4 linked regions of the Arabidopsis thaliana genome follow. The protein of the gene in region 1 interacts with the protein of each later gene in a pairwise test. Each region holds a gene or a part of one and is shown in the gene's direction. Other genes may lie near its edges.

The links.
Region 2: the proteins of AT5G19570 (region 1) and PIP1C interact in a protein complementation assay, tested with the Arabidopsis thaliana proteins (one large-scale study listed by BioGRID).
Region 3: the proteins of AT5G19570 (region 1) and PHT1;1 interact in a protein complementation assay, tested with the Arabidopsis thaliana proteins (one large-scale study listed by BioGRID).
Region 4: the proteins of AT5G19570 (region 1) and AT4G01410 interact in a protein complementation assay, tested with the Arabidopsis thaliana proteins (one large-scale study listed by BioGRID).

What each region holds. Positions count from the first base shown.
Region 1 is NC_003076.8:6,603,502-6,608,454, forward strand, and holds AT5G19570 (uncharacterized protein), read left to right. Parts: upstream 1-3,062; 5' UTR 3,063-3,237; coding exon 3,238-3,651; 3' UTR 3,652-3,820; downstream 3,821-4,953. Other genes in the region: ROPGEF10 (ROP uanine nucleotide exchange factor 10), read left to right, coding at 553-669, 780-934, 1,037-1,111, 1,456-1,728, 1,813-2,139, 2,225-2,629; AT5G19580 (glyoxal oxidase-related protein), read right to left, coding at 4,094-4,953.
Region 2 is NC_003070.9:223,745-229,836, reverse strand, and holds PIP1C (plasma membrane intrinsic protein 1C), read left to right. Parts: upstream 1-2,293; 5' UTR 2,294-2,660; coding exon 2,661-2,988; intron 2,989-3,145; coding exon 3,146-3,441; intron 3,442-3,525; coding exon 3,526-3,666; intron 3,667-3,755; coding exon 3,756-3,851; 3' UTR 3,852-4,172; downstream 4,173-6,092. Other genes in the region: AT1G01630 (Sec14p-like phosphatidylinositol transfer family protein), read right to left, coding at 1-8, 113-408, 494-631; GPAT4 (glycerol-3-phosphate acyltransferase 4), read left to right, coding at 5,582-5,892, 5,971-6,092. UniProt on the Arabidopsis thaliana protein: Water channel required to facilitate the transport of water across cell membrane. Its function is impaired by Hg(2+).
Region 3 is NC_003076.8:17,398,469-17,405,374, reverse strand, and holds PHT1;1 (phosphate transporter 1;1), read left to right. Parts: upstream 1-3,216; 5' UTR 3,217-3,493; intron 3,494-3,720; 5' UTR 3,721-3,731; coding exon 3,732-4,132; intron 4,133-4,283; coding exon 4,284-5,457; 3' UTR 5,458-5,606; downstream 5,607-6,906. UniProt on the Arabidopsis thaliana protein: High-affinity transporter for external inorganic phosphate. Acts as a H(+):phosphate symporter in both low- and high-Pi conditions. Confers sensitivity to arsenate.
Region 4 is NC_003075.7:575,942-581,797, forward strand, and holds AT4G01410 (Late embryogenesis abundant (LEA) hydroxyproline-rich glycoprotein family), read left to right. Parts: upstream 1-2,086; 5' UTR 2,087-2,366; coding exon 2,367-3,050; 3' UTR 3,051-3,346; downstream 3,347-5,856. Other genes in the region: AT4G01400 (oligomeric golgi complex subunit-like protein), read right to left, coding at 1-1,302; CBL5 (calcineurin B-like protein 5), read right to left, coding at 4,097-4,133, 4,360-4,472, 4,558-4,638, 4,726-4,778, 4,907-5,015, 5,089-5,148, 5,296-5,378, 5,502-5,577.

The sequences.
Region 1 (4,953 bases):
TAATATAATGGTAGAAAGAAAACTTTAGGTGAAAGAATTTCTAAAAAATATCCATTTCATATTTTCGTAAATATATCCATTGCACCAATAATTAATTAATGCTCCAATTAATGATAATGTAGAATCTCTAAATCATTTATTACCCGCTTATATATATTGACCGAAATAAGAAGTCCTCATTTTATAAATTATATATAGACAGGAAAATGATATTATTGCACGGAAAAAAATTATGTGATCCGCAATAATTAATTATTGCTAAATTTGATAACCACATAAACGAATAAAATGTTATCCCAAAACCACAATGAATTAGATGTATTAATATCTTCATTAGATGTATTGTATATAGCATAATGAATTGCATTTAGATTGCATTTGTGTAAGATGCATGGGTTGGATCTGAAAATCAATTGGTAAGAGTAGAATTACCAATATCGTTGTATAAAGATGAGTTCTTTAACTAATATTTATATATTTTTGATAACTATTTAATTAATATTATTCTATGTTGGATTCCTTACATAATCTTTGTATTGATATCTGTTTCAGACATGGAAGTGATGAAGGAAAGATTCGCAAAACTGCTTCTTGGAGAGGACATGTCAGGCGGTGGGACAGGGGAGACCTCTGCGTTAGCTTTGTCAAACGCCATCACCAAACTCGCTGGTAAACCTTTAACACTACTAATATGATTAAAACATTAAATGTCTAATAACGATTTGAATGGTTAAAATAAGTCACAAACTAATTAATGTGGCTTTGGTATTGGCATGCAGATTCGATGTTTGGAGAGCAGATGAAATTGCAGCCTATGTATCCGGAGACAAAAGAGAATTGGAGGAAAGAAATGGGTTGGTTATTATCTGTGATTGATCACATTGTCCAGTTTGTTCCTTCTAGACAAATGGGTAAAAATGGCCAATTCACTGAGGTGAATGCATGCAACTGTTAGTCATTAATTACGTACATATATAACAACTACTAGTCTACTAGTGACGATTTTTCTTATTAACCCTAATTTTCTCCTTTGTAGATCATGGTTACAAAACAAAGAGATGATTTGCTGACGAACATTCCAGCTTTACGCAAACTTGACTCGGTTCTTCTCGTGAGTTTAATTACTACTTGATTGTTTCAACCGCGGTTTCAACGTTTGGGAAAAATTAAACCATTATATTATATCAAACACCACATCGTTTCAAAAATATTTTGTTTGCAACAATATCCATGACACTAGGACAAACTACTATATATACTACAAGTCATAGTCATCTTTGCAAATTATAAAGATAAATATAACTGAAAACGTCATAACACCAAGAGTACCATCTCATTAATTAATTTCATATAGGAGTGCATGTATTATAAAATGATCATGATATATATATATAACAAACAAAAATAGATGAGTTGTGACCATTTATCATACTAATGCAATTACTCATTTGGCAGGAAACTTTGGACAACTTCAAGGATCAGAAAGACTTTTGGTATGTGCCAAGAGATATGGAGGATGCAGATCACAATGGAGATTGGAGGAGGGATGAGAACTGGTGGTTACCAGTTGTTAAGGTTCCAACAGATGGCTTGTCTGAGGAATCACGTAGATGGTTGCAGAATCAGAAAGATTCTGTGGCTCAAGTCCTTAAAGCCGCCACGGCCATCAATGCTCATGTATTGTCTGAAATGCACGTTCCTGAAAACTACATTGATTCCCTTCCAAAGGTTACTTACTTCTTCTTCAAAAGTGTTCTGTTTCTTTACAATTTCCACTAAGCTAGGAAGCTGATGAGGCTGTTGGTTATGTAGAATGGGAAGACAAGCTTGGGAGATTTTCTTTACAAGAGCATAACAGAGGAGAGCTTTGATCCTGACTACTTTGTCTCTTTCTTGGATTTGTCAACGGAACACAAAGTACTTGATCTAAAGAACAGGATTGAAGCTTCCATGGTGATCTGGAAGAGGAAGATGTGCCAGAAAGAGAAAGACGGGAAATCTCAGTGGGGATCCACTGTTAGCTTAGAGAAGAGGGAGCTTTTCGAAGTCCGAGCTGAGACCATTTTGGTTATGCTCAAACAACAATTTCCTGGGATCCCACAATCCTCCCTTGAAGTCTCCAAGATTAAAAACAACAAGGTAACATAACATAACAAAGACTAAACAAACATCAACAAAAATGTAGTGAGACTGAGTAAGAGTTTGTTGTGATTTGATCTTACAGGATGTTGGACAGGCGATTTTGGAGAGCTATTCAAGGGTACTAGAGAGTCTTGCTTCAAAGATAATGTCAAGAATAGAGGATGTTCTTGAAGCCGATCGGCTAGTTCAAAGACAGTTGATGGGAGAGGCAGAGACAAGATCAGAAAGCGAGGCAGAATCAGAATACGAGGAAACTGAAAAGGTGGTTGCAGCGGAAACACCAAACTCGAGGAAACTATCAGACTTCATAGGGTGGAGATTGTCATCTGATACTAAGAAGCATAGTTCAATGAGTGATATAGAATTCTTCCACAAAGTTGAGCAGGAGAAGGAGAAGCCCATGATGAAGTCTCCAAGAGCTCTACCGAAGAAATTTTCATATCTAGCAAAGTTAGAGAACATGAGAAGCCCTAGTGACAGACACTGATAGTGAAAAGAGAAGGTAATAGAACAGGGCATAGAAGAAGAAAAACACAAAGAGAGTGAGAGAGAGAGAATAGAAGAAGGTTAAAGTGTGTGAGAATGTACATATATAACAATGCAGGCATTGGTTTTAGGATTTGGACATGAGACTTGGTGTTTGATCATGATTGTTGCTTGTTTTGACTATTGCTTCCTGTTGTTTTTTCTAAGAAGGAAGTGTGATTCAGTGTGTAACAATATTTTGGTATTTTTGTTCTTTGGTGTTTTGTATTGTAACGTCTAATCTACAACATTGTTTCCTAATGGATTTTGAAGCTCATTGATAATGACTAGTAGTGTAGTAGTATTGTAATGAAACATTATTTGATGACGACATGTAATTTAGTGGTTTGTGATAATACCATTGATCTGTGTTTACCATCCGGACTATTCAGGTATTCGGGTCCGTTATTTGGATTTTTAAATTTTTCGGATCGGGTTTAGTTCGGTACCTTTCGGGTTCGGGTCGGTTCTGGATATCCAAATAATTCTTCTTTTTGATCTCCTTTACTCAACATTTAGTGGTTAAAACACAGAACAACGGAAAAGGCAAATCGGGATCAGCCACCGGCGATGAAGGAAGACATGGATAAGATGGTGGCGGTAGGGCTCGTATGGGGAGCCACCAATGCTCTGATCCGTCGTGGCGCTCTTGCCTGGGATAAAACAAAGTCTTCTTCGACAACAGAATCTCATTCTCCTCCTCTTCAGATCCGCCGCAAAATCATGATTGCTCTCCGCGACTGGATCAATCTCCTCCTCTTCTGGCAATACTCAATTCCTTTCCTCATAAACCTCTCCGCCTCCGCCACATTCTTCGCCCTTCTCAGTCACGCTCCCATCTCTCTTGCCGTTCCGGTGACTAACGCCACAACCTTTGCCGCAACCGCCGCTTTTGGGATCCTTTTAGGGGAAGAAACTCAAATCGGACTTGCTTTGTTAGGTACGAGCTTTATTGTATTTGGAATTTGGCTTTGTGTTCTGTGAAATTCGAATTTTGTAAAACCGTGACTCTGTTTCTGTGAGATCTATTTTGCGAAAGAACTATTTGTGTACCATCTTTTGAGAATTTTAGCTAACTCTCTGCAATATTATCGAAGGTAATTAACATTACTAGTCAATGAAACAAACAGTGACTTGCAATGAACGCATCGAATGATTTATACGCAAAACCGAACTAGTGAAGAAAGAATAGAGCCAAAAGTAATAATAAAAGAATTTCTCCAATACAAAATTTAGTCATAAAAACTCACCGAAAAGGTTTACATGAACGGAAAAGTTTATAGAAGTGAAAGAAAACACAAGTAATTTGGATCCATTAATGGTGGCATAAACAATATATATAGAAGGAAAAAAAAACTGATATTATGTGATTGTTTTATATTAAGATGTTACGGTCATAAGACAAAATGGGTAAAAATTATCGTCATTAGACGACCTGAATCCATTCTCCAGTGCTGGGAACACCTTTGTAGATGGCAAAGATAAGATAGTAACCCGGTGGAGCGATGTTTCCATTTGGTGGTGCAACGGCCTGGATATCGTAACCGGCACCAGCAGGTTTGACATTATTGACACCCAAGATGAGCATCCTCATGTTCATTGAGATACTGTGTGTTGTGAAGGCAGGGGCTAACATGGTAACCTTGAGATTTCCCTTGGTTGCTCCCTTTTCTTTAAGGTCGACCTTCACGTTGAAGAATTGTCCGTATTTGACCTGTTTTGGGGTGCCGGTGGTGACGATCTTTGGCCTTATGTTGGCTAGAGCCGGGTCGAGGTAAGGTGGGGAGAATTTCTCAACGCGAAGCTCCGTTGGGAACTCAACGTTGTACTTGTAACCGTCGTTGGTGTTGCTGCCACCGACAAGAACCTTACCGTCTGGAAGAATGATGGCGCTGGAGTGGTACATACGTGGGATGGTGGTGGGCTTGAGCTGTCTGAAACGCTTGCCACGTGCAGCATGGGGCTTGTACAAGAGGGGAGCAAAGGCAGGGTCTTTACCATATCCCCAGCCTGAACAACCACGTTTAGCTCCGTTGACTAGAAGGATGTCTCCGTTAGGGAGGATGACAGTATCACTCATGATTCGTGGGGTTGGCATCATCTCCGTCTTCCATCGTGGCTTTGCGCTGTTGATCCTTATCCTGGCGCAGTCTTGTAGTGCTGGTTCGTATATTTTTTTACCAGCCTTGTAATACGCGTCTTGTTTGGAACCACCACAGACGAGAACCTCGGCTGGGATGACCTTGGGGTTTTTCACGTAAAGTTGGATGGGGAGGAGTGCGGAAG
Region 2 (6,092 bases), on another chromosome or scaffold:
TCGGCATTCTAACATGACAACATTCAAACAAACAAAAAAAGAGCATTAGCATAAATGGTTTCTTATATACCCACACTAACTTAATGTATGTAGTAATATTATTATTATTCACCTAGCACAAATCTTCTCGAGCGTGTAGACAACAAAACGCTTGAACTCGTCAGGGTTGCCTTTGGAAGGGTTATGTCTGTTCCCAATGGCAACAGCGATAGGTCGACCCATCTTGTCATGACCTTGCATACACATCTTGTTATGCGATAGATCATTTGCAATCTCTGCTTCTGGTATGTGCCCCTTTGGGAGCATGCTTCTCTTCCAAGTCAGGTAATTTAGAAACATCGTTGAAGCCTTTTCAATGTCCAGGTCACGCGCTCTCAGAAACCTCCTTATCATCAGATCATCCACCTCCTGCAAATCCAAATCATTAGGGCTTTTATCAAATCAATACTTTTCTGGTTGAATTCTTTTTTTACTTAAAGAAATCGATAGGGACCTTAGTTTCAGGATCTTGTCGGTCGCAGAGAGCTCTCATGATCCCGACTTTGCTCCTCTCGATCTCATCTTCGATCAACGGAACGGTCTTTTGCTCAGCTGCTGCTGCTGGTTCTTGCTTGGTCTCTTTGTTTTCCATTACGTTTCTCCTGTGAGCGACGACCAGATCTTGAAATTGGTAGAGAGAAGAAAGAAGTAGGATCGATCATAAATGAAGACAGCTGCTGAGAGAAAGATTTTAAGTGTCATTCAATGCAAAGTTGGGCTGCTTTCCCCTTCAATGGCGACGCTCACCAACTACTCTCTTCCTTACAAAAATTCTACTCATTTATTGACTAATCCCAGGTCCCCGACTCTACAGGAAGAAGACGATTATATCGTATTGGGCCTTATTAGAGCCTATTGGGCTCGAGTTGATTTGTCGTAAAGACTTGGTCTGTGGTTTAATCAATCTCTCATGCCTCAAAGTGTTGACTGATTCAGAGGCCGTTTTAGTGTTTTGAGCCCACGTCAGAAGCTTGTCTGTCGTCTGTGTGTATAAAACAAAATTCAATTCACGATTTTTTAAAATATTGATCGTATCTTTTTCCACATGTATGTAAGCAATGAAGGATCTGCTTCGTTGCAAAATATTAGTTTTTCTTTTGATAGGCATGTACCAACTAAGTACCAGCTACGTACACAGACAAAGTCAGTAACAATTAAAATTCATCAACCTAGTCATTGCTTGTTCATCAATCAACCTAATCATTTGTTTGCTTGTTAAATAACAATGCCAACGTTATTATTTCTATTTCTATACTATCATACATTCATACGGTCCACGCCTCTAACAAAAAAAGATATTGATAAAATTTAAAAGATAGATAATTCGATGAAATGAATTATAATGAAATGTGATTTGTACAACTGAGAAAGGATGTCATATACGGACTTTGGTCGGGACCGCCCCAGTAAACACCACCAACACATATTTGCCTCTTCAACCACGTGTCGTGATTCTGTTGGTTGGGCAGCTAGACGACTGTGATGTGTGTGTGTGGGTTGCGTTTCGAAAAATGGCAAACCCCACCACTAGTTCAATAAAAGGTGTTTCTTAATCATATAGTTTAGCTTCGGATTATTTGTTTCCCTTTTCAGTTTTTTAAAAATCGATATCTACAATAGAGTTAATCTGTTTATAAATTCAATTATTGTTCGGGTAAGACAACATCAACAAAACTAATAGGGTTTGAATCCTAAACACTAAACTCCATTTAACTAGTAAAGTATGGCTCATATAGCGTTAAAAATATGTGAATTGATAACAACAACAGAGTTTTGAATTTTATTTTTGTTAGGTTTGAATAGATTGATAGAAAAAGGAAAGTGGGAATAGGGAAACGAACATGTGATCACAGAAAAGCAAAATCCATTTCTGAGCTGGAAACCCCCGCAAAATTGAACCTTATCTCCAATTTTCATTTTCTTTTTTTCTAAAATATATATCGTTTAATTGAAAAACCTCAAATTCACAATCATTGTGATTATTTTGTCACTAGTAGTACACATAGTAATTTAATTAAACATTTTAAAAATACTCTAGGCCCGGCACAATGTTCGAGACTATGTTACTTTACATAAAGCAATCGCTTTCCACACACTTCTTTTCCTTTTCTTCTCCAACGGTCGGAAGTAAATTATTAATTCGTCGACTAGTCAAAAAGTTAGTCCTTTGTGAGTTTTCTGGCACTGTAATATTTTTTTTTACATTTCTAACTGCTGACTGAGTAGTACTCCTGTAGCAAGGCATTTGAGAATAAATTAGGTCAAACATGCTATCTTTATAAGGAGTTTCAGAATATAATACTAATAGTTAGCCAACGCAACAGAATTAGTATAAGCGTGGGTTGTGTTACATGATTAAACATCATCAAGTAGTAGGCTATTACAATTATTAACGTAAATAAATATGCTTTTACGAAGATCATCGTTATCCATGATTCCCTGTATTTCTCATTATTTAAATATATCATAATAGTTTCGAGACGTTAGTTTTTTTTGCTTTTTCTATTCTCTCTCTCTCTCGCCTCTATAAAACCATTCTTTCTCTATCTCAGCCACTCTCATTACCCATTGTAGAAAAGAAGAAAAAAAGCAAAGAACACTTGAACGTTTTCTAGATAGAGATGGAAGGGAAAGAAGAGGATGTTCGAGTGGGAGCTAACAAGTTCCCGGAGAGGCAACCGATAGGTACATCGGCTCAGACGGACAAAGACTACAAGGAGCCACCACCAGCTCCATTTTTCGAGCCAGGCGAGCTGAGTTCGTGGTCCTTCTACAGAGCCGGAATCGCCGAGTTCATAGCCACCTTCCTGTTTCTATACATAACAGTATTGACAGTGATGGGAGTGAAGAGAGCACCAAACATGTGTGCCTCTGTTGGAATCCAAGGCATTGCTTGGGCTTTCGGTGGCATGATCTTTGCCCTTGTCTACTGTACTGCTGGAATCTCTGGTAACCCCATTTTTTTTATCTTCTTAATACAAGTAGAATTGGTCTTTTGTTGCATGCTTCAAACCCTTGTAGCTCTGCTTTTAGTTTTCGATTTTTCTCAAAGAGATCTTAATTTAGAGTTGATTCTGATGAGTGTGTGTGTGTGTGTGTTTCACAGGTGGGCACATAAACCCAGCGGTGACATTTGGTCTGTTCTTGGCTCGTAAGCTGTCATTGACGAGAGCTGTCTTTTACATCGTGATGCAATGTCTCGGAGCCATCTGCGGCGCCGGAGTTGTCAAAGGCTTCCAGCCAAATCCTTACCAAACTCTCGGCGGAGGAGCCAACACAGTCGCTCACGGCTACACTAAGGGCTCTGGTTTGGGTGCTGAGATAATCGGAACCTTCGTCCTTGTCTACACGGTCTTCTCCGCCACTGACGCCAAGAGAAGCGCTCGTGACTCCCACGTTCCGGTATAATTTTGTTTTGATTCCTCTTAATTTATTGTTTTGGGTGTTTAGAAAAAGATTCATAATTTAGGGTTATTTTTTTTGCAGATTTTGGCACCACTCCCAATCGGATTCGCTGTGTTCTTGGTTCACTTGGCGACGATTCCAATCACCGGAACAGGAATTAACCCAGCTAGGAGTCTTGGAGCTGCAATCATCTACAACAAGGACCACGCTTGGGACGACCACGTGAGTACCCCATTACATCATTTGGTTGATTTGTCTTTCTATATGTCTTTGTCACTTTGGTTTGATTGTGGTTTGATTGTGGTTTGCAGTGGATATTCTGGGTCGGACCATTCATTGGAGCAGCTCTTGCGGCTCTTTACCACCAACTTGTCATCAGAGCCATTCCATTCAAGTCCAGATCCTGATTTGATTTCTTTCTTTATAAAACTTCATTGTTGCATCTTGGTTTGTAATTGAGCTTGAAAATATTTGAGAGATCTGGATCATGTGTTTATTTTAATTAATGGACTTGTCTTTTTCTTATTTGCTGTGGATGATCTGGTTTTATCGTTAAATGGAGTTTGATATTATGATTGATTTGGTACGATTTTAATTTTGCTTTTGTCGTTAGACTCGAGAAATTTTCAAGAGGAATTTGTTAATTTGATTTTCTTCTGGTTTGGTTCGGTACAAATTGAGTAAGATCCATATTGTTTCGGCTTGGTTTCTCGGGTCATCGACTCAACTAGTTTACGTGGTATTTAGCCCATATTTACATTGGGCCTCTTGCGCACTCTTTATGGGCCACGTTAACCAAGTGGGTATTAAGCCCATTTACATTGGGCCTTTTTCGCACTCTTTATGGATACAACTAGTATCCCATAATATGTCCATCAACGGCATCACTCCACCTTAATTTGTTGCGATAGATAGCCAACCAAGTTGAGATAAAACATTCTTACTTATTCTACAATAACCTCGTCAAAGTGGATTACCTACCCACTGCTTCACACCTTTTTTTTTTTTTAGTTTTTACTTTTCAGTTTCATATCTTCAAAGTGAATGTTTATGATAAGTTTGTTATCTTCTTGGAAATAAATTCTATTTCATAATTTTCATTGTACATAATTGCATGCATATTTTGGTAATTTATCTCAAACACACATATATGTATACACGCATAAGTCACTTTTCTTTGTAAGCTAAGGTTCACGTGATGCAGTTTCAATTTCCATAGCGTGTAAGTAGTTATTATACTCATACTAGGGGAATACTGTTACACTCATATCCGTAAGTATGAATGCATATGGCTCAATGGCTCTCCAACTCCCAACTATTTTACCGTTTTATTAATATACCATTGACATTTGAGTGACCATCCATGATACGCGGACAAAGAAAAAGAAAACCGTCTTAATCCCTTAATTATTATAAATTAAGGAGTTAATTATTTAAACCTAGTATAAAGTCAATTAACTCAATTAGCATTATAACTCTGTCGACGGCTCCTTGATACGTAAATATTGCAATCAAAATTAAATGCTACCAATATATAAAAGTCATTTTCATATAATTAACTTGGTCAGGCGGCCGTCGACTTTAATGTTTCACGTATAGTTGGATACTATATAGTATATACACACAATGCCAACCCACATATTATAAATTTATAATAACTCACCCAATTAATTATACAGCCTTCCATTTAGGTGAACTACTAAACTACTTTCTTTCATGTCAATCAACAAAAAGAAAGTAACTGAACCGCGTGTGACCAAAATTATATTTATGTATACACCAAATTCCATCATCTAATAAATACCCTAATCAAATAATCACTCATATTAACTTAAATATATTAGAAAAAAATAAGTGTCAATTGAAACCTTTGTTACGAATCATGTGATGTGAACATTTAATTTCTCATGGAGATAAAGAAATAAGAAGGGTTAATTTTGTAAAGATTGAAAGTTTAAGGATAATTTCGTAAATAGTTAATATTAATTGGACTGAAAAGTTATTTAGTCAGTTGAGCGATAAACAACCACTGGAAGGCGCATTTAAAACCCCAAGGACCTTCCCTCTCTTTCTTTCCAAATCTCTCTTTATCTCTCTTTCTCTGTTTACTAAATCGCCAGTATTCGCCGCAAGAAAGATGTCTCCGGCGAAGAAGAGCCGAAGTTTTCCTCCGATAAGCGAGTGTAAAAGCAGAGAGTATGATTCGATCGCTGCGGATCTCGACGGGACTCTGCTTCTGTCAAGAAGCTCTTTCCCTTACTTCATGCTGGTGGCCATTGAAGCAGGTAGTCTCTTCCGTGGATTGATCCTTCTTCTTTCTCTTCCCATCGTCATCATCGCTTATCTCTTCGTCTCCGAATCTCTCGGAATCCAAATCCTTATCTTCATCTCCTTCGCCGGTATCAAGATCAAGAACATCGAACTCGTCTCTCGCGCCGTTCTTACACGGTAACCACAATCACCGGATCTTTATTCTTTTCGATTTTGGAACCCTTTCGATTTTTAATCTTCGTTTTCAAATGTTAGGTTTTACGCGGCGGATGTGAGGAAAGATAGTTTTGAGGTGTTTGATAAATGTAAGAAGAGGAAAGTAGTGGTGACTGCGAATCCGATAGTGATGGTTGAGCCATTCGTCAAAGACTATTTGG
Region 3 (6,906 bases), about 11 Mb from region 1:
CATAATAAACTAAGAAAAGATAGCGAAAACTATCAAACCAAAAGCAACTATTTTTAACCCTTACGAGAAATGAGAATCACCTTCTTCTGATACACATGCAAATGAAATTTATTAAAGATGCCCACGGCCAACCCGAAAGTAACATCTACCATTTTCTCTCATGAAGAAAGCTAATCTCTCGAGATCCAAGACATCATTGCCCGGTAAACAAGACCATAGAACTCAAACATATTTCCGGATGCAATGACGTTGTTTGGTGCCCTTTTACGTGATGATGGTTAATGGCCAAATAAGAAAGTAAGAAAATTCGCAAAAAAACAAAAAGGAAGAGACATTGGACATCAAATGGTGGTCCATCGCCGAAATAGGAAAGTCTTAATTCTCTTAAGTCTTGATAGCTTAGGCGAGTAAGTCTAGGGACGTCCAAGTTCACTGAATATGACTTTAATAGCATATTATGAATATTGATATTGATTTAATCGATCATAACCAAACTGTAGGCACATGAACGACTACAAAACCTAGGGCAGTGTCAAGCAAACCTAGGGCTTGTGCAAACTAAGGAAAGCTATCCTTTCCTTCCCTTTTGTGCATTCCAGAGCCACATATGGAAGCCTGGACATCCTATACACCACCCAGAACCATTCACACTAATCCTTGGTGCATTTTTCCTTATGTGAACCCACAGAGCCAAAACTTTCTTTTTCCAGAGCCGAATGAGATCATATCACAACGACTATATTCTGATCATCTTTTGCGGGTCTTGAAGATTCCTACAATTAATGATGCCTAAGTTATCAAGACTCAAGACACATCACAACTTTCCTAGTATGGCCGATTCTCTCATTCAATTTTCAACGGCCATATTTTCATTTATTGTTGCGATTTCTTTCTTTATTTTAGCATATAGACGTTGCACTTGAACCCCTATATAACATAGTCAGACGTTTCGGGTTCCTATATGCGAGCCGCAAGAGATGACCAAGACGGACGAAGGATACCCACATGGCTTTGGAGTCAAGAACTCACTGGTCATGCTTGGTGTCATTAACTTTGTCGGTATTCTCTTCACCTTCCTTGTTCCTTAGCCCAAGGGCAGAGCCGGCCATGAGCACAAGCGGGCCAAGCCCATGCTTGCAGCCGATTATTCAATAATTACATTTTCGGCCTCCAAATACTGAAGTTGTTCTATGGTCCAATGTTCGCGTCAGGGAAAACTTGGTCCTTGTTTTGTTTAACTTCTTAAGTTCGAATCTCCCAAATGCCGATATTATTACAGTTTTTCTTCTTCCGTTTTTGTCAAAAAAAAATTAGTTACTAAATTATAAATAATTAACCTCAATTGCAATTAATCTTTTGGTTCCTTTTCTTCCTCTAGCATTGTGTGGTTTATTGGTCCTTAAACTGTCAGCTTTTTAGTTCAAATCCATCCATTTTGTCTATTTTGTCTCTGTATCTCATACTTATTCTATAATTCATTAGTGGTTTAACTGTAACAAATTCATGTTTTATTCTGATAAGTTTTTTTTCTTTACTTCTTAATCATTGTTTCTTCATAAAAACAACATATGAAGGATATGATAGAAATTTGACTAAAAAAAACTTGATGGATGAGTCTACGTACATATATAAATGCAAGGAATATCATATATAAAAATTGCATTGATCTTTGATGCTTTAATACTTTTAGTGCTTTTTTTAAACATAACCAATTTTATATTTTGTTTGATCACACTTTTTTATACTATGAACATGTGTAAAGAGGCTTTTTTTATATTATGAACATGTGTAAAATATCCTCTCTTTTTTTTTTACTATAAGCATGTGTTAAGTGGCCTTTTCTTTTTCTTTGCTTGTAGCCTTGTAAATAATAGGAATGCCCAAGGGCAAGTCCCTTGAAGAGCTCTCCGGTGAGGCTGAGGTTGAGAAATGATTACGCCATAATATTTTCAAATTCTTAATTGGTTCGATGAATTACATCTTCTATTACGATTTACTTTATTTTTGCGATGCGTAATGTGATATTTCATGTTCGTAATGGTGGATCTCTACATTTATTTTTTTGTGTGACAAAATGTAATCAATCGATATTTAGTGGTCATTTATGATATTTATTTGACTGCTTATCTCTACTACACAGCTACTATCAAATTCCTAATCTTTGTTGTTATTATGGTTATATTTAATTTATGCATGTAATACCTCTCGTATAACAACAAAACATTCAAACCATTTAAAACATTAACGTGTACATATCGAAGTCCAGAAAACCCGTCATTTAAAACAAATACAATCCTCACATTTATATATATATATGGTCTGAGCTGGATTGGTTGATATTAAATCCTTATTTATGTATATGTAATGGCAACTAAGTCCACTAAGGCATGAATTATCTGTTAAAATGAATTTATATGCTTATGTTCTCGCGAATATCCTATGTTTTTCGAATATGCTTTTTTAAAATAATGATTTTGACTTTGCTAAATGATAATTAATCTTCATGACTATATGTATCCTGATTGTCACTCCTCAAATGTCAACTATTAGAGTTGAATAACTCGACTGCAAAAAACAAAACAAAGAAAACGAGGAAGATGGAGAAATTTAAAACCTTTCGACTTATATTGGCTCTAAAATAACTTGTAGTTCAGATTTACACGAAACAATAAATAAATGATTAGAGCTTGCAACTCTCCTTATTTAATTTTAGAAATGCATTTTATATTGCGAATAATATAATTGCAAAGTTGGAATCAAACATAAATATATATAACTGGTCAACGATTACAAGTAATGCCAACAAGATTAACTACAAACTGAATTCGTGTCTACACTACTTCTTTTTGATTTTATTTTATTCTTTTTTTGTGTGTGTACAACGTCTAAATTAGCTACTTCTATTTATAGAAATTTACATGGAATGCATATCTATAGTAATGCTCATATATCAATCTGTCTCCATATAGTAATTGAGATGGTTAAACAGAAATTTTTGCTAAAACTTCGTTTCCTGCTTCAAAATAATAATCAGAATCCGTAACTATCATACAATAAAAAAATCATCCCATCTCACGTATCCTAGAGAGATTTATTGTATAAGGTGTTCATATTCTGGAAGGCGTATCGTCCAGCTTAGATGATGTTTTATACTTTTCAATATAAAATAGACTGTAAATAATATTTTACTTCAGAAACAAATGGTGTTCAAAAATCTTAAACATCAACTATAAACATACGGAGGGAGTATTGATGACTAAAATTCTAAAATCCAAAATGAAATTACAAAATAAATAATAACTATGAAGAAAGAGGCGATCACGTTGCTTACATATCTTTCCTTTTCAAAAAGCATTTTTTTATTACATTTAACGTGCTTCTCTTTCTTCTTCTCTATAAATGGCCAGCATAATTGTTCATTTCTAATGACCACATATAGTCTCTCCTCAACTCTCCAGAGAAGTTCTTAATTTCTCCTGCCAAGCTGATTAAGGTAATATTACTTTCCTTTGTCGTCTATATTTAATTTGTGTATATACCATTTCAAGTTGAGTTTTCTTGTTCATAATTCCAAAGATATCAAGTTTTGTTTCAAAATTTTGGCCATTGAGAGGTCAAATGCTCTGTTCCATGATATTTTTTAAGTCTCCAAATGAAAATATTTCATAAGCGAGAAATAATGACATGAAATCTTGGATTCTTTGCGTTGTATGATTATAGAGCTCTAGGAAATGGCCGAACAACAACTAGGAGTGCTAAAGGCACTCGATGTTGCGAAGACGCAACTTTATCATTTCACGGCGATTGTCATCGCCGGTATGGGTTTCTTTACCGATGCCTACGATCTTTTTTGCGTGTCCTTGGTGACGAAACTCCTTGGCCGCATCTACTATTTCAATCCGGAGTCAGCGAAGCCTGGCTCACTTCCCCCTCATGTTGCGGCCGCGGTCAACGGTGTGGCCCTTTGTGGAACCCTTTCTGGTCAACTCTTCTTCGGTTGGCTCGGTGACAAACTCGGACGGAAAAAAGTGTACGGTCTCACTTTGGTAATGATGATCTTGTGCTCTGTCGCTTCTGGTCTCTCTTTTGGCCACGAAGCCAAGGGTGTCATGACCACCCTTTGCTTCTTCAGGTACAATTTTCATCCAATTACAATATTATATATACACAATGATTAACCAATAATCTAATAACGAATGCAAGTTTTAAAAGTTAGTCACGCTTCGAACTGATTTAGGTATTTTTCTTTGAGAAAGTTTTTTTATATATAAACCATTACGTAGGTTTTGGTTGGGATTTGGTATTGGAGGTGACTACCCACTTTCTGCCACCATCATGTCTGAATACGCAAACAAGAAGACCCGTGGGGCTTTCATCGCAGCTGTCTTCGCCATGCAAGGTGTCGGTATCTTGGCTGGAGGTTTCGTGGCACTCGCAGTATCTTCTATATTCGACAAAAAGTTCCCAGCTCCAACATATGCAGTAAACAGGGCCCTCTCAACGCCTCCTCAAGTTGACTACATTTGGCGAATCATCGTCATGTTTGGTGCTTTACCCGCAGCTTTGACTTACTACTGGCGTATGAAGATGCCTGAAACTGCCCGTTACACCGCTTTGGTTGCCAAGAACATCAAACAAGCCACAGCCGACATGTCCAAGGTCTTACAAACAGATATCGAGCTTGAGGAAAGGGTGGAGGATGACGTCAAAGACCCCAAACAAAACTATGGCTTGTTCTCCAAGGAATTCCTTAGACGCCATGGGCTTCATCTCCTTGGAACTACCTCCACATGGTTTTTGCTTGACATTGCCTTCTACAGCCAAAACTTGTTCCAGAAGGATATTTTCTCGGCCATCGGATGGATCCCAAAGGCAGCCACCATGAACGCCACCCATGAGGTTTTCAGGATTGCTAGGGCTCAGACTCTTATCGCCCTTTGCAGTACAGTCCCAGGCTACTGGTTCACAGTTGCGTTTATTGATACCATTGGAAGGTTTAAGATCCAACTAAATGGATTTTTCATGATGACCGTGTTTATGTTTGCCATTGCCTTCCCTTACAACCACTGGATCAAACCAGAAAACCGTATCGGATTTGTGGTTATGTACTCTCTTACTTTCTTCTTCGCCAATTTTGGTCCAAATGCAACCACTTTTATTGTCCCTGCTGAGATATTCCCGGCCAGGCTAAGGTCTACATGTCATGGAATATCAGCCGCGGCTGGTAAGGCTGGAGCCATTGTTGGAGCCTTTGGGTTCCTATATGCGGCTCAATCACAAGACAAGGCCAAGGTAGACGCAGGATACCCACCAGGCATCGGAGTTAAGAACTCATTGATCATGCTTGGTGTTCTTAACTTTATCGGTATGCTCTTCACCTTCCTTGTCCCAGAGCCCAAAGGCAAGTCCCTTGAAGAACTCTCTGGTGAGGCTGAGGTTAGCCATGACGAGAAATAATTATGTATGTTTATTTTGTTATTTGGAGTGCGATGTTTGGTTTTGTTTTCATTTTATTGGCTCGTTGACCTTAAGTTATGATGTTATAAGAATATTTATGATATCATTTAAATCTTGTCTAATATTTCGAAATCGACTCACTATTCTGGAAACAAGCTTATATATTCACTCCAAAAGCAAGGTTAAAATTAGATCTAGTCGTTTACTTATATTAATATATTAGAAAACTAATGAATTTCATTCAAAGTTTAGATCTGATCTATCCAAAGAGAGCAACATTTACAGTTACACAGTACTAGAGCTTAGGGCAACAAAATAAAACACAAGAATGTGACTTCTACACCATAATAAAAGCTTCCAAAGAATCTTTTCTTATGTCGCTCAAGAAGGAGATTGTGGATTCTGTTCGAGCTTCTATCGTGGTGTAGAAGTCCAATGTACCTGATTATTGTTGCGAGAAATAGGTCTGGACATGCTTTTTTCAGTTAAGTTATATGGTTTAACTTCTTTGAGTTTGGGGTTTTTAGGTTTAAGCTTTTTAGGAAACATGTCTTAAACTCCAAAATTTTGAATTGTCAAATGTAATTTTATTTTGGTATAGGTACCGTACGGGTAGATTTTGAATTGAAAACTGTTACAAAAATATAAAGTTACATATATTCTGAAAATTTTGGGTATATAAATACAATTTAAATGTATTTTATATTTAATTTAAAATATACAGTTTAGTGTATTTTGGTTTGTACGTTTGAATTGCTCAAGATTTGAGTTCCATTTTGGATTTAGTTTGGTACGTTGATTCGGTAAAACAAAATAATACCATCAATTTTACTAATGTAATTTTATTTTGGATTTGTGAATTTTTGTTTGATTCGGTATCCACGGGAAACCCTCGTACGTAGAAGATTGAAAACAGTTAAATTGGAGTTCTTTTATTGTATTATACATAAATACTAGATAGGATCCACGCTGTTCAGCTTGGGGAAATATTTGCAGAAATTTTAGTTTGCTAGTTTACATAATAAATCATAATCATAATATTTTCTATTTAATAAGTTCTATTTTGTAATTTTATGTATTTAATTTATTGTGACATATTCCAATGTAATTCAGCAATCAAATCAAACCATCTTAAAGTAATCCATCCAATGTTAAAATCTGTTAGATCATCTATATATATATTTTTGCAGCCATTTTAACAAATAAATCTTCGAGTTGGACTTATTTACAACCCAATGCCATTAGCATTAAATCGTTTTTTCAAAATAATTAGTTTTACTTTAAATTTTTAATTTAAATTGTCAATCACATTATCAATCAAATTTAATCCAAACAAACTTCACATCAATCCCTTAAAATTAGCATAAAAGTATTTTGTTAACAATATTTTAAAACAAAGTTTTTTGTTTAAATAAATATTGTTCTTACTAAACGTTTTTTGTTTAAATA
Region 4 (5,856 bases), on another chromosome or scaffold:
ATCACCGGTTATTTCTTCCTTTACAGCATCTTCAAGAAACAGTTTGATCTTCTCCGACTCATCTTCATTACAGATTAATGGAATTACCATCTCCCAAGTGTCTGAATGCAATGTTTCTCCGTTCTTCATCACAACCTCTACAACATCACAAGCTTCTTCGACTTTCCCGAAGCTACAAAACCCTTTTACCAAACAATTTGAAACCGAGAAATGAGGAGAAAACCCTTTGGATATCATCTCTTCTAGATACTTCTTCCCTTCATCAAACATTCCTTGATCACACAATCCTCCAATCAAAGTCCTATACGAGACCGAATTAGGCGAGCAACCGTTAGACAACATATCATCAAGAACTTTCCTAGCATCCATCGCACGATCTTCTCTACAAAACCCGAGAATCATCGTGTTGTAATGAACAAGATCAGGATTACAACCTTTTAACTTCATCCTACATAGAAGCTTATAAGCCTCTCTAAGCTGTGTCTTCCTACACAAACTGTTCAACAATGTCGTGTAACTTAACCTATCAGGCACGAATCCTTTATTCAACATATCATCAAGTAATTCCATAGCACCATTCACTTGACCTTTCCTACAAAACCCTTGTATCAGAATCTTATAAGAATCCACATCAGGGACAACATCTCTCTCAAGCATTTTACCAAACAGTTGGTATGCAATACTCAAATCATCATTCAAACAAAAAGCTTGCATCAATAAATTGTAACTTCTCGTGTTAGGCATTACTCCATGAAGCCGTGAACTCTTGAAAAGCTCAAAAGCTTTCTGGAGATAACCTCTATGGCTTACGAGAACATCTAGAATCCGATTCAGATGTTTTGGCTGCGGCGTGAAATTGAACTCCAGCATTTTGTAAAACGTACTTAAGACTTTCTCCGGTAACTTTGCTTCTGCGTAGACTTTGATCAGATAAGTGAAAATTTCTCCGGTTAATGGATAACCACTTGATCTGTGTTTGGCGAGAACGTCGTCGATAAGATTGAAATATCTACCACGGCCGAGTTTGAGAATGAGGATTAGATGAGAAGATCGAGAATGGCGGAAATTGGGCTGTTGAGAAGCATAATCGAAAATCTCCTTGGCGAGGAGAGGATCCGATTGCGAAGCTATGAGCTTTTGAACCCGAGTCGGAGACCCGATTGGGGATTTAGGGTTCGAGACAATCGGTTTTCGAGCTTCATGTTCAGATGAAGAATAGAACAGAAAACGCGAGGATGTCGATAACGGAGAAGTTAAGTGGCGAAAAACGGCGGCGAAGTCGTAGATCGGCCGGCGAATCATTTGTCGGAGTTTTTTTTTAATAAATCGGCCGTTGGAAGTGAGACTTGTATCAGTCAGCAAATTATCAAATATCTCTCTGTACACAATAGTTTTAGTGTAGGCCCAATTTTATAATGGGCTTATAATTGAGGCCCAGGTAGCATCCACAGCATTGTCGGTGACTACAGTGTCGGTGGTGCGGTATCTCAGTTAGTGTGATTAAATAACAGATTCTTCTTAAATGTGATTATTATTTATTTTGGAAGCTTACTAATAATATATGGAATTTGGTCAGAAGTATTGTTGGAGATGTGGACATAAAAGACTTGTACTTTTATTTTCTAAACATTAGAACAAATATGACACATGTGGTATCTAATTAATTTATTATTAATTGCTTTATACAGTTGATAAAGAATTGTGAAATATGATAATTTAATTTTCTTTCTACATAACCGTATTCTGGCATGCAAACAGATATTAGGTTATTGCTAACTTTGACAGGCCGTAACCTGATAAATTTCATTCTAATTTTTTTAAAAATTAACACGGCCAAAAAGTGATAGTTATCACGTTGCACGAAACCATAGTTGTCACCAAATAAGTCAATCATTGACAACAAAGTATTTGATTATGTATAGCCATATGTATACACGTTACATTGGATTTTTCATTTTTAAAAAATTCATCACTCATCAGATCCGTCACGTGAACGGTTGCACCGAGATTTGGAGTCTTTCGAAAGTACTTCTCTATCTTATATTATTACATTAAGTATTATAACAAAATAAAATCACAATGTAAAAACAGTAGTAATTTACGGCTACTTTATAAAAAGATTAGCTTTAACACATAATTACAACTACAAGCTTTCTAAGTTAATAAACAATTAATAAAACTGTACTCTAGAAGACTGTTTACTCTTATTAACTAGAAAAGAGACAAAACCTTGCATCTACTTATCTTCTTTCTTCTCCTCCTCCTTCTTTAGAGTCTTCACTCTTCACCGAACCCTCTGATTCTCGTATAGACACACACATACCTATACATACACACTTTAACACTTATATCTGTAGAGTATAGCCATGGGAGAAGGAGAAGCAAAAGCAGAGCACGCAGCCAAAGCAGATCACAAGAACGCTCCCTCCGCTTCTTCAACGCCAGAATCTTACTCTAAAGAAGGCGGAGGAGGCGGTGGAGATGCTCGCCGCGCAATCTGCGGCGCGATCTTCACCATCCTTGTCATACTAGGTATCATAGCCTTAATCCTTTGGCTCGTCTACCGTCCACATAAACCACGTCTCACCGTCGTCGGAGCCGCCATCTACGACCTGAATTTCACAGCGCCGCCGTTAATCTCAACCTCCGTTCAGTTCAGCGTTTTAGCAAGAAACCCTAACCGGAGAGTCTCCATTCACTACGACAAGCTCTCTATGTACGTAACGTACAAAGATCAGATCATAACACCGCCGCTTCCACTACCACCGCTTCGTTTAGGACATAAATCTACGGTTGTGATAGCTCCGGTGATGGGAGGCAACGGTATACCAGTCTCGCCGGAAGTAGCTAATGGTTTAAAAAATGATGAAGCTTACGGCGTCGTTTTGATGAGAGTGGTGATTTTTGGGAGGCTACGTTGGAAAGCTGGTGCGATTAAGACTGGACGGTATGGATTTTACGCCAGATGTGATGTGTGGTTGAGATTTAATCCATCTTCTAACGGACAAGTTCCTCTTCTCGCTCCTTCAACTTGTAAAGTTGATGTCTAGTCTTAATTTTACTTCGTTATGTTTTCTTTTTTAATCTTTGTGTTTTAGAATTGTAATCTTTTTTTTTTGTGGTCATGTTAGTGATGAGTTTCGTCGAGTCTAGTGTTAAAATAAATTAAAAGGCATAAGCCAAAAATTATAAGTACAAGTATATTACTAATTTTATATTTTACTTGTGATAATTATTTTGTTTCTCTGTTGTTGGACCTGTGGATGTTAATTAATGACATTTGACAATACAAATGTGTTGTCGCTAATAGCGTATCTTGGCATATGGTGAGTTCATCGACACAACAGCTCAGAGTGTTTGATCAGACATATGGCATCTTCAGGCAAATCTCATTTTGGTTTTATCATATATATATTTTTCCCCCATTATTACGGAACTATTTCCTCACGATTATAATTAAATACTTAGAATATTACTATGCTTTTCTGTTTTCCGATTCAATGATATTGTTTTTTTGTAAATCTGAATCGGACGTTAGGAGTCTTCTGAATATAAGTTACATTTTTTGAATGAAGCATCCGTTTAAAACGAGTGACTAAAATGATCGTGACTCCACAAGTCATCGCGTCAAATGTAAAATTTTCATGTGAAACAGTGAAAGCGTCAAATCTAAATAATATTGTGGATGATTGTTGTGAATTTGATTAGTTGACCTGATTCAAAAATTTGATTGGTATATCATGTCAATTTTTTCTCTTTGGTTTTGGCAACTTATATCATGTCCAATTTCTTTTTGTGTTACCATTTTTCTCGAATTTTCACACGTTTGTTCTTTTTCTTTTTCCTCTTTTCCTTTTCCAAAACCCCATTTTGTCTTCACGAACCGATCTTTGCTTTTAAGTTTTCATATCACAGCTTTAGCTTTGTGGTTAAAAACAATTACTTTCTATCCTCGTTAAATATTAAAGATTTCTTTCGATAGTTAATATGTTTATATAATAATTAACCTTCTATATTTCTTATAACAAATTACCTATGTGATTTTCGGATAAAAATATTTTTAAACAAAAACCTCTAGCAAACACCTCATCTGATTTTACCGGAGAAAGGTTGGGAAAATCCTCGGAATGTCCCTGTACAATAAAAGTTAATTTTAGAATAATTATCTCGATTTATAAAACAAGAAAAATAAAATAAAAGAAGATAATAGTAATATATGCATAAACACACATATATAAAAGCTGTTTTTGAAAGATGTATATATATTACTTTTTTTGTAAAACGAAAGATGTATCTAAAACATGCAATTTATCAGCGAATATTAAGAAAATGGTTAGGAAAAACAAACAAACGAATTACTTCAAGAAAGGGATAGTCATGTTCTTTAGTGTCAAAGGATAGGTGGCAACAAAATTCTCCCATTCTTCCAAATCTATTATCCCATCTTTTTTCCAATCGGCCTCTTCAAATGTCTTTGCCAAATATAAGTAAACAAAAATAGTAAGTAAAATCACTATAATGTTAAATCAAGCTCATAAACTTAAGCGTTATACACACCTTAGACACGATAGAATCAATGATACTCTCGGATAGCATAAGTTCTGATTCCTCTAGAACGTCTATTATCATCTCTTTCACCTATAGATTTCTCCAAGTCGAGGAAAACCGTCAAATATAATTAATCATGACTTTTTCTTTTTTTTGAGACAAAGTTTACATACGTACCTCCTCCGGTTCAATGAATCCAGTCTCACGAGTATCGTATAATCTAAATGCAACTGTTTAATTTTAAACAAGTGATCAGATGTATTTGTGGTTATAGTTAATAACATTGATCTCTAGCTATATAGAAAATAATAATAACATGGAATAAATGAATAAACACATTAGAAGTGATGAAGCATACATATGGCCTTATCTCTTGGTGATGAGTTTGGGTGAAAAATGTTGAGTGTGTGTACAAACTCTCCAAAATCTATAGCCCCATCGTTTCTCATATCGAATAATCCAAAAATCTGCATATTTCAGAGAAACAACATCAATCGAAGTTTATTTATTTATTTCGCTTAATATAACAAATTCAATTACCCGTTCTGCAGAAAGACTGCGCTTTTTGGTATTCTTGATCAAGATAAATTGAAATTTTTCCTGGAAAAGCCAACCAAATTTGACATGACAAAAGCACAACTTTTCTATAACTAGCTAGTATAAAATTTAGATGTTATATTATTCACATTTTGTTGACCAAAAAAAAATTATTCACATTGTGGAAGAAAAATTAGTTTGGACTCTAACTTTGGTCAAAAGATTGTCGTTGCTAAGACAAGAAGTGAGTTTGATGAACAATCCATGCAAAACTTCAACCTCAGCCTCGCTAACTGCAAACCCAAAACAATTTAGATGTTATCTGATCTACAAGCTCGTGTAATAATATTCTTTCTCCATGCAATATAATATATAGGAGGAGGAAGTGGTGGATGATTGAAGTAGACGTAACTTACAAAAGGTTTGAGAAGCAAGAAGCGAAATGTCTTCTTGCCTTCTTCCTTCTAATTGCTTGCTGCAAACACATCCCATTTTACTATATCAATATATATTTCAAATTCCACATACATTTAAGTGTGTCTATATATATAGGCATCAACGTAGGTGCAAGAAATTGTGGAATATAAATCTATTTCTAACCGAACAAATTCGAAAGTGGAAGGGTTTGTACATTGCCGGCTTAGGAAGCTGGAGACAAATGGTATAATTTATATCGGAATTTGATACTAGTTCTTTTTCTATGAAACTTCATTTTCTTTCCTGAGTTCTTTAAACATATTCTTTTTCTATGGTTTATATTTTCTTGTTGAT